Neurospora crassa OR74A: one gene and its partners. The protein of the gene in region 3 purifies or fractionates together with the protein of the main gene of each other region. This does not show direct contact. Links are inferred from orthologs where the notes say so. Each region holds a gene or a part of one and is shown on either strand. Other genes may lie near its edges. The genes, in order: cyt-26, NCU16028, cox-6 and fes-1.

Evidence for each region.
Region 1: the proteins of cox-6 (region 3) and cyt-26 purify together in Saccharomyces cerevisiae (affinity purification with mass spectrometry; 3 studies listed by BioGRID, with this or other methods). This does not show direct contact. The link is inferred for Neurospora crassa OR74A from reciprocal best matches to the Saccharomyces cerevisiae genes COX6 and CYT1.
Region 2: the proteins of cox-6 (region 3) and NCU16028 purify together in Saccharomyces cerevisiae (affinity purification with western blotting; 5 studies listed by BioGRID, with this or other methods). This does not show direct contact. The link is inferred for Neurospora crassa OR74A from reciprocal best matches to the Saccharomyces cerevisiae genes COX6 and COX2.
Region 4: the proteins of cox-6 (region 3) and fes-1 purify together in Saccharomyces cerevisiae (affinity purification with mass spectrometry; 4 studies listed by BioGRID, with this or other methods). This does not show direct contact. The link is inferred for Neurospora crassa OR74A from reciprocal best matches to the Saccharomyces cerevisiae genes COX6 and RIP1.

What each region holds. Positions count from the first base shown.
Region 1 is NC_026501.1:4,144,621-4,148,855, forward strand, and holds cyt-26 (cytochrome-26), read right to left. Parts: upstream 2,943-4,235; 5' UTR 2,709-2,942; coding exon 2,634-2,708; intron 2,391-2,633; coding exon 2,236-2,390; intron 2,088-2,235; coding exon 2,025-2,087; intron 1,933-2,024; coding exon 1,260-1,932; 3' UTR 648-1,259; downstream 1-647. Other genes in the region: mbp3 (methylated-DNA-binding protein3), read right to left, coding at 1-492; aro-7 (DAHP synthase), read right to left, coding at 3,758-3,918, 4,003-4,235. UniProt on the Saccharomyces cerevisiae protein: Component of the ubiquinol-cytochrome c oxidoreductase, a multisubunit transmembrane complex that is part of the mitochondrial electron transport chain which drives oxidative phosphorylation.
Region 2 is NC_026614.1:58,168-60,940, reverse strand, and holds NCU16028 (cytochrome c oxidase subunit 2), read right to left. Parts: upstream 1,413-2,773; coding exon 660-1,412; downstream 1-659. Other genes in the region: NCU16027 (ATPase subunit 9), read right to left, coding at 2,109-2,333. UniProt on the Saccharomyces cerevisiae protein: Component of the cytochrome c oxidase, the last enzyme in the mitochondrial electron transport chain which drives oxidative phosphorylation.
Region 3 is NC_026505.1:4,304,225-4,307,965, forward strand, and holds cox-6 (cytochrome c oxidase polypeptide VI, variant), read left to right. Parts: upstream 1-1,328; 5' UTR 1,329-1,465; exon of another isoform or gene 1,466-1,579; 5' UTR 1,580-1,604; coding exon 1,605-1,765; intron 1,766-1,981; coding exon 1,982-2,027; intron 2,028-2,189; coding exon 2,190-2,307; intron 2,308-2,487; coding exon 2,488-2,609; 3' UTR 2,610-3,053; downstream 3,054-3,741. Other genes in the region: NCU06696 (hypothetical protein), read right to left, coding at 3,614-3,741. UniProt on the Saccharomyces cerevisiae protein: Component of the cytochrome c oxidase, the last enzyme in the mitochondrial electron transport chain which drives oxidative phosphorylation.
Region 4 is NC_026504.1:1,784,894-1,789,212, forward strand, and holds fes-1 (ubiquinol-cytochrome c reductase iron-sulfur subunit), read left to right. Parts: upstream 1-1,512; 5' UTR 1,513-1,719; coding exon 1,720-1,993; intron 1,994-2,318; coding exon 2,319-2,407; intron 2,408-2,529; coding exon 2,530-2,680; intron 2,681-2,801; coding exon 2,802-2,983; 3' UTR 2,984-3,711; downstream 3,712-4,319. Other genes in the region: dim-8 (DNA damage-binding protein 1), read left to right, coding at 1-652, 721-1,032. UniProt on the Saccharomyces cerevisiae protein: Component of the ubiquinol-cytochrome c oxidoreductase, a multisubunit transmembrane complex that is part of the mitochondrial electron transport chain which drives oxidative phosphorylation.

The DNA of each region.
Region 1 (4,235 bases), on a different chromosome or scaffold from region 3:
GCCTCCACCTCTTCCCACTTGCGCCGATGAGTTTTCTCCTCCCCCACCTTCCGTGCTCTTCCCCAAGAGACTCCCAGCACAAGTATCCCCGTCAAACAAACACCCTTCCTTCCTCCCCGCCATGATCATCCCCAGAAACGGCAACAAACACAGCTCAGGATCACCCATCACGCGATTTTGACCATGATCTTGTTCTCGCTCCAGCCGCAGAACCCGATAAGCTTGATCCCTCAAGGAATGGGCACAATCCATCATCATTTCCCATTCTTCCATTCCACGCATGAGACTCGGTTCCCAAAGTTTGCGGACTTCAACTGGTGGGGCGAAACCCGAGGTAAGCAGCGAGGCGAGGTAGTCTCGGTCTTGAGAGGAAGAGGAGAAGTCGACGTTGAAGTCATTGAGGATGTCATTGGCGAGGTCTGGTGACATGACATCGTTATATGGGAGGCGAGAGGCCTGTGATTGGGGTGGTGATAGTTTTGATGATGACATTTTGCTGGTTGTCAGTGGATGGAGAGTTTTGGATTTACATATGTGGTGTCCAGCAATCGTAGAATCAAAATGTGATTGAAAACTTCACGATGAGTTTGGGGTCAAGATGTTGTTGCTTGTCAGTGAGTGAATCGAAAAGGGAGGGGAGGGGGCCAAGACTTTGTTTGGAAGGCAAATCAAATGCCAAGCCAGGGGCATCCTCTGTGGCACTTCGTGCTGACATTTACCGTGATTCGGTGAAAGAGAGATTGCCAATCGAGAAATGTCAAGGCTTTCGAAGCTCATACTATATCTCAACTACTCTCGAAGTTAAAGGCGTACATGATGATGTAGCTGACAGGGAAATGGCCTTTACTCTTTGGCATCCGTTCAAATGCCCATGTCGTAATATCCGTATCCTGATCCACTCACATGCAAGTTCAGCTTGACCGTCATACCCATACCATCATACCCTGTCAGACACAGGCAATAACGTCTATGTTGTATTTGAGACCAGAAAATTTGATTTATACACTCTACGACCATCTTCATGTTCAACCCACACGCCCGCACATCTCCGCATTGCCCAGAGTTACCGATCCCGCCCCTGCCCATTCCTTTTCGTTTTGCTCTTTCTGACCGATGCGCAAGAGGAACATGGGGGAGCAAAATTTGGGCAGCAATAGTATATGATACATACACAGAAAAAGACAAGGAAAATCACGCACGTCTCACAACGGTTATTGTGTGAATGTCATGACTTTGCCCTTTGTTGTGGCAATGCTAAATTAGTGGCGGGTGGTGGACTCCTTGGGGGGATCGTAGACGATCTTCCTCGACTTGAGCCAAGCCCACTTGTAACGCTTAACATAGACGCTCAAGGCGAAGAGCACAGAGGTGACAACCAGAACCTTCATACCCATGCGCTTGCGGTCGTCCATCTCGGGCTCAGCAGCCCAGTTGAGGAACTCAACAACATCCTTGGCCATCTGGGAGGTGGAGGCGGGGGTGCCATCCTCGTAGTCGACGAGGCCGTCGTAGAGGACACGGGCCATGGCGATACCGGTACCGGGGAAGTAGGGGTTGAAGTTAAGGCCGGCGCCAACGGAAGCGCCAGCGGGAGGCTCATCGGGATAGCCGGTAAGGAGGGAGAAGATGTAGTCGCAGCCACCGTGGCGGGCCTTGACGATCAAGCTGAGATCGGGAGGAAGGGCACCGTTGTTGGCGAAACGGGCGGCCTCATCGTTCTTGTAGGGATCGGGGAGGTAGTCGGAAAGCTTGCCGGGGCGCTTCTCGATCTCGCCCTGGTCGTTGGGCTCGGTGTCGTACTCGTTCTCTTCGGCAAGAGCCTTGGCCTCATCGACGGTCAAGATGGTGCCGACAAGAGCGCGGTAGGGGACTCTGCTGAGAGAGTGGCACGAGGCGCAGACCTCACGGTACACCTGGAAACCTCTGCGAAGACTGCAGTCGGGCAAAAACAAAGTCGTGAGCCAGATAGTCATTTTGGATTGGAGGCGCGGCCTCGAATGGGCTGGATAGGAGTGGTTGCTTACGCTTGGTGATCAAAGGTCTTGAGCCACTGTTCGTGGACCCAGGGGTACTTGGTAGCATGGAGACTGCGTCAACGGTAAGCTTCGAGTCACTCCATGCCCAGATTCATGCCTATAGTCGAGCTCGGTCGTATATGCCTCAGAACCCATGAGGCAGACCTCGGTCCAGCGGCTAGAGCGGGGCGGATGGTCGGATCGATCGTAGGGGACTCACCCTTCCTCAGCCGGAGTCATGGCGGAAGCGAATCCATAGAGATGGTAGTACCAGGCGATCGAGCCGGCGGCGACGGCGGTGGCAGCGGCGGCAGCAATGTTCAGGCGGAGGGGAGACTCGGCAGCGGCGCCGGAGCTCTGGGTGGAAGCCGAACGCTGCCGGGCACGTCCGTTAGCTTTCCTCGAGGAGCGCGAGAGTGTGAAGGAGACAAGACAGGATGGCTCGGCCGGGGCGGGGATGGTCGGGCAACTGGGCCCCGGACCGGGAGCTCGCAGTAGGTTGACGGTAGCTCAAGCCGGCCCAGACCCAGCCATTCGAGTGGCGATGCGGCCGAGATCTGTTGTTTGGAGGGGCAGAGAGACGAGGACGAAAGAGTTGTCGAAGCAATCGAGACGAACCTTGGCAAATTTGAAGGCGCCATTTTTCGCGCTGGCAAAGGTGCGCGTCGAGCGCAGGCAGGTCCTCGCCAGCATGGTGGGCAAGCTGAGCGAAGCTTTAGGAAAGTATCGCGGGTTCGGGGGACAAGGCCAATTGGGTTGGCAATGTCGGTGACAGTATCAGGTCTGGCGGGCGGGAGGTCGAGCAGGTCCGTCCAGGTGCAAGGTCGGTCGATTCCCTTCACGTAGCGTCGTAGGTAGGACCGTAGGTTTCTTGAATTTCGGGAATCTTAGGAACACTCGCCATCTGATTGGCTGGGCCAATCACCGTGCAGCCTTTCGAGCTTTTACACTTCCCCTCGGCCCCGGCCGATGGATTTTCCGCACTAATTTACCTCATTCTGCCCGCGGGCCTCAGCGCTTTTTGAGACTACCTTGCTCAGTAAGGTAGACACCTCAGCGAGCCCAATCCCGACCTGCAAGTGGAAGTTTCACAAGCGACTAATCCAACTGGGCACAGCTGGGAGCTGGGCATCAGGATCAGGATCAGCATCAGTATCAGCATCAGCATCAGCCAGCATCGCCCCATGGAAATCATAAATGTCCAAGCTCTCGCTGCCCGCGGTCCGCCCCTTCTGTCTTTTCAGCTCACACGGCGACCCAGCGTGACCGGACCTAGCCGAGGAAAAGCTGCCAAGGAAAGCCAGGTTTGAAGCTATACACCACACATACATACCTATGCCGTGGCCCCGTAATCGCAGGTGAAGCTCAGATTTGGTCACCACGGCTATCACGCTTCACACCAACACATCACCACAATTGCATCCCCAAAAAAAAAGGCAACGCAAAACTGTAGTCGAACATGGACGATCCTAGAGATTATCATCGAAAGAAATCCAAGGTAATTGTTTCGTTTTGAGATCCAGACCCGCTCCATCTTTTACCATCTTCTATTGTCTCGACGGCCATTTCCCAAGATGCATTAATACACGCTCTTTATCAAAACACACCACATGCAGAAATGTCAGCTTTTGTGTTCCCATCCCCGCGCCAGCATATATTCGGCATCCCTCACTTAGGGTTCGTGAACCCCTATCAAATGACCCATAAACCATAAAGCAAACAAGACCAGGAATTGGCATGACTTAGGCAGCGGCGTTCTTGCTCAGGACTTCTCTCCTCTTTTTGACGGCCTGCGCAAGCGTGTCGAGAGTGGCGACAGTGTCCTCCCAGCCAATACAAGCATCAGTGATACTGACACCGTACTTGAGGCCGCACTTGCCTTCCTCGGGCACCTTCTGGTTACCTGTACGTTGTGTTAGCGAACAGCTTCAAATTTAGACGGTCATATGCCCCCAATAAAAAAAATAAACAAAATAAAAAGACTTGCCCTCGTTGATGTTGCTCTCAATCATGACGCCCATGATACCAGTTTCGCCGTTCTCAAGTTGTTGCGCAATTTCGGCAGCGACCTTGGGCTGGTTCTTGTGGTTCTTATTCGAGTTGCCGTGGCTGCAGTCAATCATCAGGCGCTGGCGCAAGCCGCTCTTCTCCAGCGCAGCCTTGGCCTCAGCGATGCTCTTCGCATCGTAGTTGGTGCCCTTGGTACCGCCACGGAGGATG
Region 2 (2,773 bases), on a different chromosome or scaffold from region 3:
TACTAGATATACATAAACTTATTAATTACCTAATCGGGGGCTAGCCCCCGGTTCAGTCTTGGTAACTCTTTAAAAGGTTTTTGGATTTAAGCAAGGTTCCTTCCGCTAGGCTACGCCAGACTTCAGGAACTTGCTTGTTATTTTAACCCTTCCCCGCCCTGCAGTACTGCAGGGGGGGGGGCGGGTAGCCTTTTAAACCTAATTAACCTATAAAAATAATAATAATTAAAAGCACCCCCCTTAAGGGGGGGGTGCTTTCCAGTTAATGGGCCCCCCGCCCCCGAAGGGGGCGGGGTCCCCCGAATATTGTTTATAATATAACCCACCACCTCCCGGATGTTCCACTCCACTCGCTCCCCCCCGCAAACCTGCGGGGGGGGGAGCGAGTGGAGTTAATTCCGTTCCACTCCACTCCCCCCCTTAAGGGGGGGGGGAGTGGAGTTAATTCCATAAGTCATCCTCTTCATATTAGAAACTTTTTATCGCTACCCCCTCGCTCCCCCCCCGCAAACCTGCGGGGAGGGGGGGAGAGATAACCACTAGATGGCTTCATACTCAAATACATAGGGCCCCACGAATACCCCACACACCTTCGTGTGTGGGCCGTATTCGTGGGGTCCCCCGAGTTCCTTTATTTAGCCAAAAACTATTTTATCGTCTTACTGTTCTTCTAATCAAGTAAGGAATTTTTCTAGAGATACTGACTCTATAACTATAGGCATAGAACTGTGTAATATACCACAGATTTCAGAGCATTGACCATAGAATACTCCTTCTCTGTTAATAAAAACAGATACTTGATTTAATCTCCCAGGATAAGCATCACATTTAACACCTAAAGATGGAACAGCGAAGCTATGTATCACATCACCTGCAGTGATGATAAATCTAACGTGTGTTAGTTCAGGAAGGATAACTCTATTATCCACCTCTAACATTCTTAGTGCTCCTTCTTCCAAATCGGATTCCGGTACTATATATGAATCAAATTCTATAAATTCATCATTTGAATCTAAGAAATCAGGATATTGGTAACTTCAATATCATTGGTGCCCCTCTGCTAAAACTGACATTGAAGGATCACTAACTTCATCCATTAAATATAGCAACTTAAATGAAGGGAAAGCAATTAATATTAATATTACTGCTGGAGTAATAGTTCATATTAATTCGATTAATGTACCGTGATTTAAATATTTATGTGAAATTGGTGATTTTGTACTGATATAATTTCTTATTATAGATAATAAGATTCATCCTACACCAAATAGTATTACCACCAGATAGTACATAATATTGTCATGTAATTCAACTAAACCTTCCATCTGAGGAGTAGCACTATCTTGAAAATAGATACCTCATGGGCTTGGAGCATCAAAATTCATAATTAAATTATTAAATAATAATCCCATAAAAAAAGAAATAGAATATTCTATATTGAATATTAAACCATAATAATAAATATATTATATCTTTTCATAAAATATAGAATTTAAATATAACATTAAACTGTATTGTATATTAAGGCTAGGCTAATTCTTATCCACTAACGAAGTATACCCTGTGCCTAATGGGTTTTTATAGCCTGCTGCTCATAAGGTTAGGCTACGCTAGCGTCCTTTGTTTTTTCGGGGGACCCCGCCCCCTTCGGGGCGGGGGCCCAAAAAAATGAATTACCTTCGCTCAGCTTCGCACACTTCGCTCACTTCGCTCAGCTTCGCTCAGCTTCGCTCAGCTTCCCTCCCAAAAAAGTACCACCCTCCTCCACTCGCGTACCCCCTCCTTTGCTCAAGGTCCCCATCACATTTAATTATGCCCCCCTGCAGTATTGCAGGGCGGGGGAAAGATGGGGGCCGCCAAGGGGGGGGTTGAGTGGAGGAGGGTGGTCGCGATATTATGGCTAGCTAAATTATTAAGGCTGCTTCCTGCCTGCCTAGACTTCGTAGGCAGGAAGTAGGAGGGGGCCCCCCACGAATACCCCACACACCTTCGTGTGTGGGCCGTATTCGTGGGGTCCCTCGAAGCTAGCTAGCTAGCTAAGCAGGAAGAGCAGCCATATTTTTTATTTAAGCAGCCATACATCATTTTATTCCTAATCTCTATCATTACTATGCAACATAAAGAAGTAAAAAAGCCATCATCAAAGCAAATAATCCTGTCGCTTCCGAGAAAGCAAAACCTAAAATTGCATATGCAAATAATTGACTTTTTAACGAAGGGTTTCTTGAAACCCCTATTATTAATGAGCCAAATACAACTCCAATACCTATACCAGCTCCGATTAAACCTGTGGTAGCTAGCCCTGTTCCTATTATTTTAGCTACTTGTATCATTATATATACAATGGTGGAATCAAAAATTAACTAGAATCTAGTAACCTCTTCAATTCCACCACCGCAAAGCAGCAAATACCACTGAGGCTCCCGACAACAGTGTATTTACTGCTGTTGCAGTATATCTAATGATAATCAAGTAGCCATTAGGCTATCCCTAATGGCTACAATAATCATACGATAGCTAGCCAGTATATAACTGGCTAGCTATCGTAATCTTTAGTACATTACATATAAAGATTACATTACAATACATTACATTACATTACATGTAATGTAACATTACATTACAGTTACATTACTGTACATTATATTACATTACAGTTACATTATATTAAGTTACATTACAGTTACATTACAAAATATTACATTACAGTTACATAACATTAAGTTACATTAAGTTACATTACATTACATTAAGTTAAGTTACATTAAGTTAC
Region 3 (3,741 bases):
GTCGGGCCGCAACGGGCTAACTCTTGATCAAACGAGTAGTGTAGAGTCCATGCCGAGGTTTGGGGAAGTAGCTAGTGCAGGACGTTCACAACTTGGTTATCAGGAAGAGATATCGTGGAAATTGATACGAGGACGTTCAAACACCCAGGCGAGCCCGAACCAACGGTGCGTATAAGAGAAGGTGAATGGCTTGCCCTCCAGCGATTGAGCTCACAACCTGGGGTGGCCCAGTGCTACGGTAAGACATTGACCAGCGGGTATACAAATTCGGTTTGTTCAATGATTCAATCGAGTCCATTTTTTTGAGGTTTCGCGGCTCTCGCCTGTTCAACAACCCCAACCCACCAATACTACAAGACGCGTTTTCTACTCTCTCCGAACTACATACTGGCTTTCGATCAGCCCATCATTCATCCACCCACAAATACACGAGTGTACAAGCCGTGAATCCTGAGATGACGAGACCATGTGCCGGTCAAAACATTCGGTTGGCAGTCAATTTCTTCCGATGATAAATAGGTTGATCCGTAAATCTCCAGCGCTTGCCGGTTCAAATGTTCCCAATCCTGGGAATTGTCTAAGAAAAAAAGTGAGGGATATCAAGGTCAACACGATGATGAGTTGAAGTGAATGTCCGCAACAACAGACACCACTTCATTGTGTGAAAGACCGACATGAGCAACACGCACTGGTTGCATCATCGCTGCAGGACGGATCGGATAAATCGACTGTGTTGGATGGATAAATCGACTGTATAGCAATTCGCGGGCTACCCCCAAGGTTAGTGTTAGGGTTAGTGGTTAGGGTTAGGTGTTAGGGTTAGTTCCGGGGGTGCAGGGGGCCGGTGAGAGGCCCCCGCATATAAATGAGAGTTCAACGCTTTAGAAAAAGTCGTTTTGAGCTTTCGTTGTCGTTGTCGAGACAATGATATTTTGGTGATGACTTGCGATCGCGAAAGTTTGGCGCGAGAGATGCCAAGCTTTGGGTCTTGGCTGTCAGTTTGTATGGGCTCCACACAGCGGATTCATCTGAGCACACAGTCGATTTATCCGGCTCGCTGCAGGAAGGCGTTATAGGTACCCCACGTTCTGTTGCTTCGACATCAGCCTCATTATGAAGTTAAAGAAATGTTTCAGCCACTTCAGCCACTACTGGTGCGGAAAAGTGGGCTGTTGTCTGTTCAATTGCATACCAAGCTCATGTACGAATTGGAAAGGTGAGCTTAGGGAGCTTGTGCACTGACCACCGAGTGGCTTGTCCAGAAGTACCTCGAGGGCGGAAAAAACACAGCTAGTCAGCTAACCGGAAAAGACATAGCCGAAGTATTCGAATGGTCCGATGCAGTGCAATACCGGAGACTTCCACTTGGGTTGAACAAGCATTTACGTCGCACACCATCGAACCTCAACCTCGTTAGCATTAATTGAGACCATCATCTCAGCTACCGTACCTCCCTCTACGTAACGTGCGTGCTTCTCCGTCTCCGCCGCCAATTACCGCCTTGCCTTTTCTTCCCCCCCGGTCTTCTCGCTTCGCAGTTCCAGCTTCTTACCGTGTGCTCTCAATTCTCATCTTCTAGTAGCCCCCTCCGTCCTTCCGTCACAATGGCCTCCTTCTTCCGCACTGCCGTCCGCGGTCCCTCCGCCGGCCTCTTCCGCGCCGTTGCCCGCCCCCAGCCCATCGCCGCCCGCGTCAGCCTTTTCAGCACCTCCAGCCGCTTCCGCTCCGAGCACCACGAGGAGACCTTCGAGGAGTTCACTGCCCGGTGAGTTTTGCCCCGGCAGCCCGGCCGGGAAGCTGCTACCTCTCCGAGCCCCGGAGGTCCCAGGCCCGAGCTAGCTACCTGCCTATCCTAGCTCGGCTTCACTATGACGTGATGCCTCCGACTCTCCTCCCCTCAGCCTCAGCCAGGGCCACCCCATCAACACCTCCATGCGCCCTCGAGAACTCCCCAATTCCTAACTTGCGCCTTTTCCAACAGCTACGAGAAGGAGTTTGATGCCGTTCAGGATGTTTTCGAGCTTCAGGTATGCACCACCTTCCATGCTCCCGTCCCACTTCGACTCTCACGGCCTACTCGACGACGCACCTTTTGCATTATCGATCAAGGGACAACAATGATTCAACTTGTTGGGTAGGGGCAAGGGAAGGAAGAGACTGTGAGACTGACGCTGGCATACCGAAATTAGCGCAACCTGAACAACGCTTTCGCTTACGATCTCGTCCCTTCCCCCTCCGTTCTCGCCGCCGCTCTCAAGGCTGCCCGCCGCGTCAACGACTTCCCCACCGCTGTCCGCGTCTTCGAGGGTAAGAGCCCCCGTCCTAACATCCATCACTGCCGCCACCGAAACCCGCACACATCGTAGCCATCGACGACCAGCCTATGCGTCAATACCAAGGTGTCCGATAAGCTCGGGTGGATAGGGAACAGCAAAACGGTCTTTTAGGAACCAGAACCATGCTGACAACGGGCTTCCGTCATAACAGGCATCAAGGCCAAGGTTGAGAACAAGGGCCAGTACGAGCAGTACCTCGCTGAGCTCAAGCCTCTTCGTGAGGAGCTCGGCATCACCCTCAAGGAGGACCTCTACCCCGAGGAGGCCAACTAAATTTAGGACCAACGTAACTTAGAAGATGCCATGAGAATCACCATTCCAACGACCCATCAATTATTCTCCCAGAATCTTTGGAAGTTTGAAAAGAGGGGATATGAGAGTATTGTGGCGAGAGGAGGGGGAGTTTGTGGAAGGGGAAAGCGTAGCGTGTGTGCTTGGAACCTATGAATAGGAGAGCGCACTCAACGCTAATTCCCTGGTACCATACATGTTTCTTTGCCTAGAGAACTCCTATTGCAGGAAGTAAGGGCGTAGTATATCCAAGAGGGCCTTAGAGAGAGGAATCGAACGAGTTCAACCTGTTTGTCGAGTTGGATACGATAACAGTTGGTTGTGTCACGGATTGTGTTTGGACGATGAATATCCCATGCCATGATCGTAGAGAGCAGCAAAATAGATGTATTCGAAAGGCAGTAATGAGTTTACCATAGATTTTACAAAAGCTGGATGCTGGTTACCATTCGTCATAAGAGATTGACCAGATTCACGATTGTCATGCCTGGTTCTACCTGGATTCTATTGCCTTTATCCATAGCAGGTAGAGTAAGTATCTAGAAAAAGGTAACCCCAATGCGCCGAGTGCCTCAACCTCTTTCATGTGCATCCCTCGATCCTCAAATGCAACCTGAGTACCTTGAACCATACAAAAGAAAATGAAAACAATCGATCTAATGAACCGTAAGATGTAAGATAGGGAGATGGGTATTGTGAAAAGATATTCCTACCGGCTGGAGAGAAAGAAGAAGAAGAAAAAGACCAATAGGTAACAAGCAATAAGCAAACAATCGTTTCACCAACCATTCCACCGTTGACAGGGACATAAGGAAAGCTGACCTGAAGCCATCTTAATCGTTGTCTTTGTCTCGGTCCTTGGTCACGAACCAGGAAAACAGCTGCAGTCATCGACCGACAGCCGAGCCATTCTTTCCTTCTCTCAAGCACCCAACGATCTCGCTCTCCGACCCCCAGGTTCGGTTCTAACTCCTATTCGTCTTGCCCTAATCACGGAGGTGCCCCCACCGGGGGTTAAAGTTTATGCCCCCATTTCCTCCACCATTCCCGTTTCCATCACTAGCATTGCCCGGCGCAGGACTATTACCCCGACTACTTGCCGCCGTATCCGTCG
Region 4 (4,319 bases), on a different chromosome or scaffold from region 3:
GAGGTTTATCGTCGGTACAAGCTTCCTGGAGGATCCTGACCGTGGCGCTGGTACGGACAAGCGCGGTAGGATCTTGGTGTTCGGGATCGACAGCAACCGGGATCCGTACTTGGTCCTCAAGCACGAGCTGAAAGGCGGCTGTCGCGCTCTGGCGGTCATGGGCAGCAAAATCGTGGCTGCACTCCACAAGACAGTGGTTATCAGCCAGTACGAGGAAACGTCAAGCACTGAGGCCCATCTCGTCAAGCTCGCGTCTTATCGGTGCACAACTTATCCGGTCGACATCGCGGTGCATGGCAACATGATTGCTGTTGCTGATATGATGAAGTCGGCTACACTGGTCGAGTACGTCCCGGCCAAAACCGGAGGGGAGAAGTCCGAAGCCCCCAAGTTGGTAGAGTGCGCGAGACACAGGCATTCTGCGTGGGCAACGGCCGTGGCTCACGTTGAGGGCGAGTCTTGGCTTGAAGCTGATGCCAATGGCAATCTGATCGTGCTTCAACGCAATGCTGAGGGCGTGACAGTGGAGGACCAGCGGCAACTGAGGATAACAAGCGAGCTCAACCTGGGAGAACAGGTGAACAAAATACGCCCGATCAAGGTCGAGACTAGCCCGAACGCCATCATCATTCCTCGAGCGTTCTTGGCCACGGTAAGTTGCCTGTTTCTCAGATTGATCATGTCACAAGGTCAAGGCTAACAATTGACTTGATAAAACAGGCGGAAGGCGGTATTTACATGTTTGGTACGATTGCGCGCGAACAAGACCTCTTACTTCGGTTCCAGGATAAACTGGCGGCGGTGATCAAGACAGTTGGCGAACTCGATTTCAACTCCTACAGGGCATTCCGCAATGCGGAAAGGGGGCCCGAGGCAGATGGAACGACTGGGCCGGTCAGGTTCCTGGATGGGGAGTTGCTGGAGAGGTTTTTGGATGTGGATGAGAAGACGCAGAAGGAGATCTGCGAAGGTCTTGGGCCGAGCGTTGAGCAGATGCGCAATATGGTAGAGGAGCTACGGAGGATGCACTGAGCCAACGGTTAGACACTTAACGTGCATGATTGGATGTCTACAAGTCATCGCTTTGGCTGCTGAAGATTTTGGCAGTTGCAAGTGTTGTCAATAAGTGCTGTGCTCAAAACATGGCTGCATAGGGTGAGAGAAGATGAGTCTGTGAATAGCCTCAGATGAACGAATGAATTATGTATGATCAATAGATCAATTGACATCACTGTCTTGGCACCCTTGGCTCGCCGAGTCGCTGACAGTTCAAGTTGTCCGGGCGCTGCGGTGACGCGCTGAGGTGAGCCCCACCACCACCATCACCACCACCAACAGGACGAACCAGGCGACGGAAGAAACCGGAGAGTGGACGAACAGGCAGTCACAGCCAATCAGGGCCGGCGCATTAAGTAGCTCTCTAGCTGCTGGGCGGACGCTGTGGTTGGTTAGTGCCTCAGGCCACAAGCCAGTAGCTATGGCGGTTTCCCATGCCGGGAAAGGTGGGAACCAAGCTCGGCCCAGAAAAACCTCAGTCCGTGATTTTGGCCTCGTCGTCTCGACCGCATTACGCAGCCGTCAATTCCGTCTCCGGAACACCGCCCACGTCCACCGTCCTCCCGCGACTCCGAAAGAGCAGAACCTCGCTCGATCTCCCCGCTCTCGCAACCCCCTCTCTCCGCTCCGACCTCTGTCCACGCGAGTAATTCTACCGACACAATGGCGCCCGTCTCGATCGTTTCCCGCGCCGCCATGCGCGCCGCTGCCGCCCCCGCCCGGGCCGTTCGCGCTCTCACCACCTCGACTGCCCTCCAGGGTTCCTCGTCCTCCACCTTCGAGAGCCCCTTCAAGGGCGAGAGCAAGGCCGCCAAGGTCCCCGACTTCGGCAAATACATGAGCAAGGCGCCCCCCAGCACCAACATGCTCTTCTCCTACTTCATGGTCGGCACCATGGGCGCCATCACCGCCGCCGGCGCCAAGTCCACCATCCAGGGTGAGTCTTGACTTGATGGGATTTGAGGAGGAAGCTTCACACATTCCTCGAGGTTGGGGAAAACAAAGAGGTGGCATAGGACAGATGGGTTCGGGTCAATGGGATTCGACAAGGGGGTTCTGTTATGGTGGGGCGAGCTATCTACGGTTCCGTCTCATCGATCACCAATTTGCGACCACTATGACAACTTTCGATATCGGGGCGGATATGGTTGGACCTTGGGGCGATGTTGAAGCATGGATACATGGGGAAAATGCCATCTTGCACATGCACCCACGAACACCCAAGAACTAAAGACAGCTGACGAGGCGACCGTGTTATACAGAGTTCCTCAAGAACATGTCGGCTTCCGCTGATGTCTTGGCCATGGCCAAGGTTGAGGTTGACCTCAACGCCATCCCCGAGGGCAAGAACGTAAGGATCCCTACGAAACCGGATTAGCAAAGGCTTGGGCTGAGCTGAGCTGGGCACATCGATTCCCGACGACGATCAAACCATGATGGAATGCTGACCCCGGTCTTTTCCTACTTTTACAGGTCATCATCAAGTGGCGTGGCAAGCCCGTCTTCATCCGTCACCGTACCCCTGCGGAGATCGAAGAGGCCAACAAGGTCAACGTTGCCACCCTCCGTGACCCCGAGACCGACGCCGACCGTGTCAAGAAGCCCGAGTGGCTCGTCATGCTTGGTACGCCCCTCCATGTCCCTCTTTGCGATCCGAACAAGACGAAGGATAGCATTTTTGGATGCTCAGATCCTGGATACACGACGATGTGGGGAGACTGACATTTGGTGTGTGAACAAAACAGGCGTCTGCACCCACTTGGGTTGCGTTCCCATCGGCGAGGCCGGTGACTACGGTGGCTGGTTCTGCCCTTGCCACGGTTCTCACTACGATATCTCTGGCCGTATCAGGAAAGGACCTGCCCCTCTGAACCTCGAGATCCCTCTCTACGAGTTCCCTGAGGAGGGCAAGCTTGTCATTGGTTAAGCGAGCAAAAAGACAAAACTTTCCGATTGAACAAACAAGACACAATTTTTAACCAAACCTACTAGGGAATCCTCTCGATATTCCCTTGTCCACTTTTTTTTTCCCTTGCTGCCCGAGAGACGATGACAGGGAGAATTGTATTAGTACGGGGGTATTGCGACAAAGGGCTTGAGTGGAAGCATGTCATAGACCATAAAACGGGATTTTTGTTTTCCGTGGTTCTTGACGCGGTTTCGTACGACTATCCTATAGACAGAAGACACACATACGCATACACAACAGCAAATCAGGTGTCACGGTCGATCATATGCGCTCGAGAGTCGGAAACTTCTATATACTCAGAACTGCGTTCTTCACCTACGCAACCCTACATACCTATTATTGGTGCTGAGCTTGGCGCTAGGTTGCTGCTGAGTGTTGTACCCTTGCGTTTTCCTATAGACTGGCTTTGTAGAAAATCCTATTGTATGAGAGGCTCACTGGAGCATGGTACCGTGAGAAGGTCTTCCTCGACCCATGGCAGTCGGCTGTGGCTAAGAGCTTTGTGAGGAAACCATAGGTCAGCTGATGAACCTCCCAATGCTAACGCATCTGATCATCCAACACGGCATTGGTAAATACAAATGGCCTTTTATGCGGGTGTGGGACAGACAGGCTACATGTCGAATTGCTGGAGAGCAGCTCGACCAGAATTACAGATGTTGACAACTTAATCTTAGCTTGGCCAACCTTGCGAATCAAGCCCAGTCGGTATACCCGCCCGTGCTACTCTGGTAGCTGAGTTAAGGAAACGCCCGCGAACCGGTAGCTTACCCTGGTTGTTTCATTGACGTCTGAGGAATTCTCCGAACGTAATTATATCTGAAGCCCGCCTTAACATCTTGTGCGCTACTCAAGCCGACACATAGTTAGTGCACTACCTCCAACCATAGCCCCTTGCCAATGCTGGCCGGGTGGGTTGCAGTCTCATTGCAGGGGCTAGGTTGTACCCCCATGCGCTCCCCCTTGCTCTGAGTCTTTTTCCCCCACAAACAAAACAACCTCATCTTTTGAACTTCGCCTTCCCGGGCGCGTCTTGACACAGCTTTCTCACTTCTTCACCAAATTCTCGAAACCCCTCACCCTTGCGGCTCAAAGGGGCTGCTCCTAGGGTCATGTAACAAGCGAAGTTCCATCGTTCGTCTGATCTGACTTGCCGACTACCCGAGGCACCATGGCGGCCACGATTCACCCACCACGACTGGACAAAGTTGTTCTCGAACATAAATTATGGCAGGCGCCACGGTCATTGACGGCGACCGAGATCGAGGCATGCCGATGCCACCGAAAGCGAGAA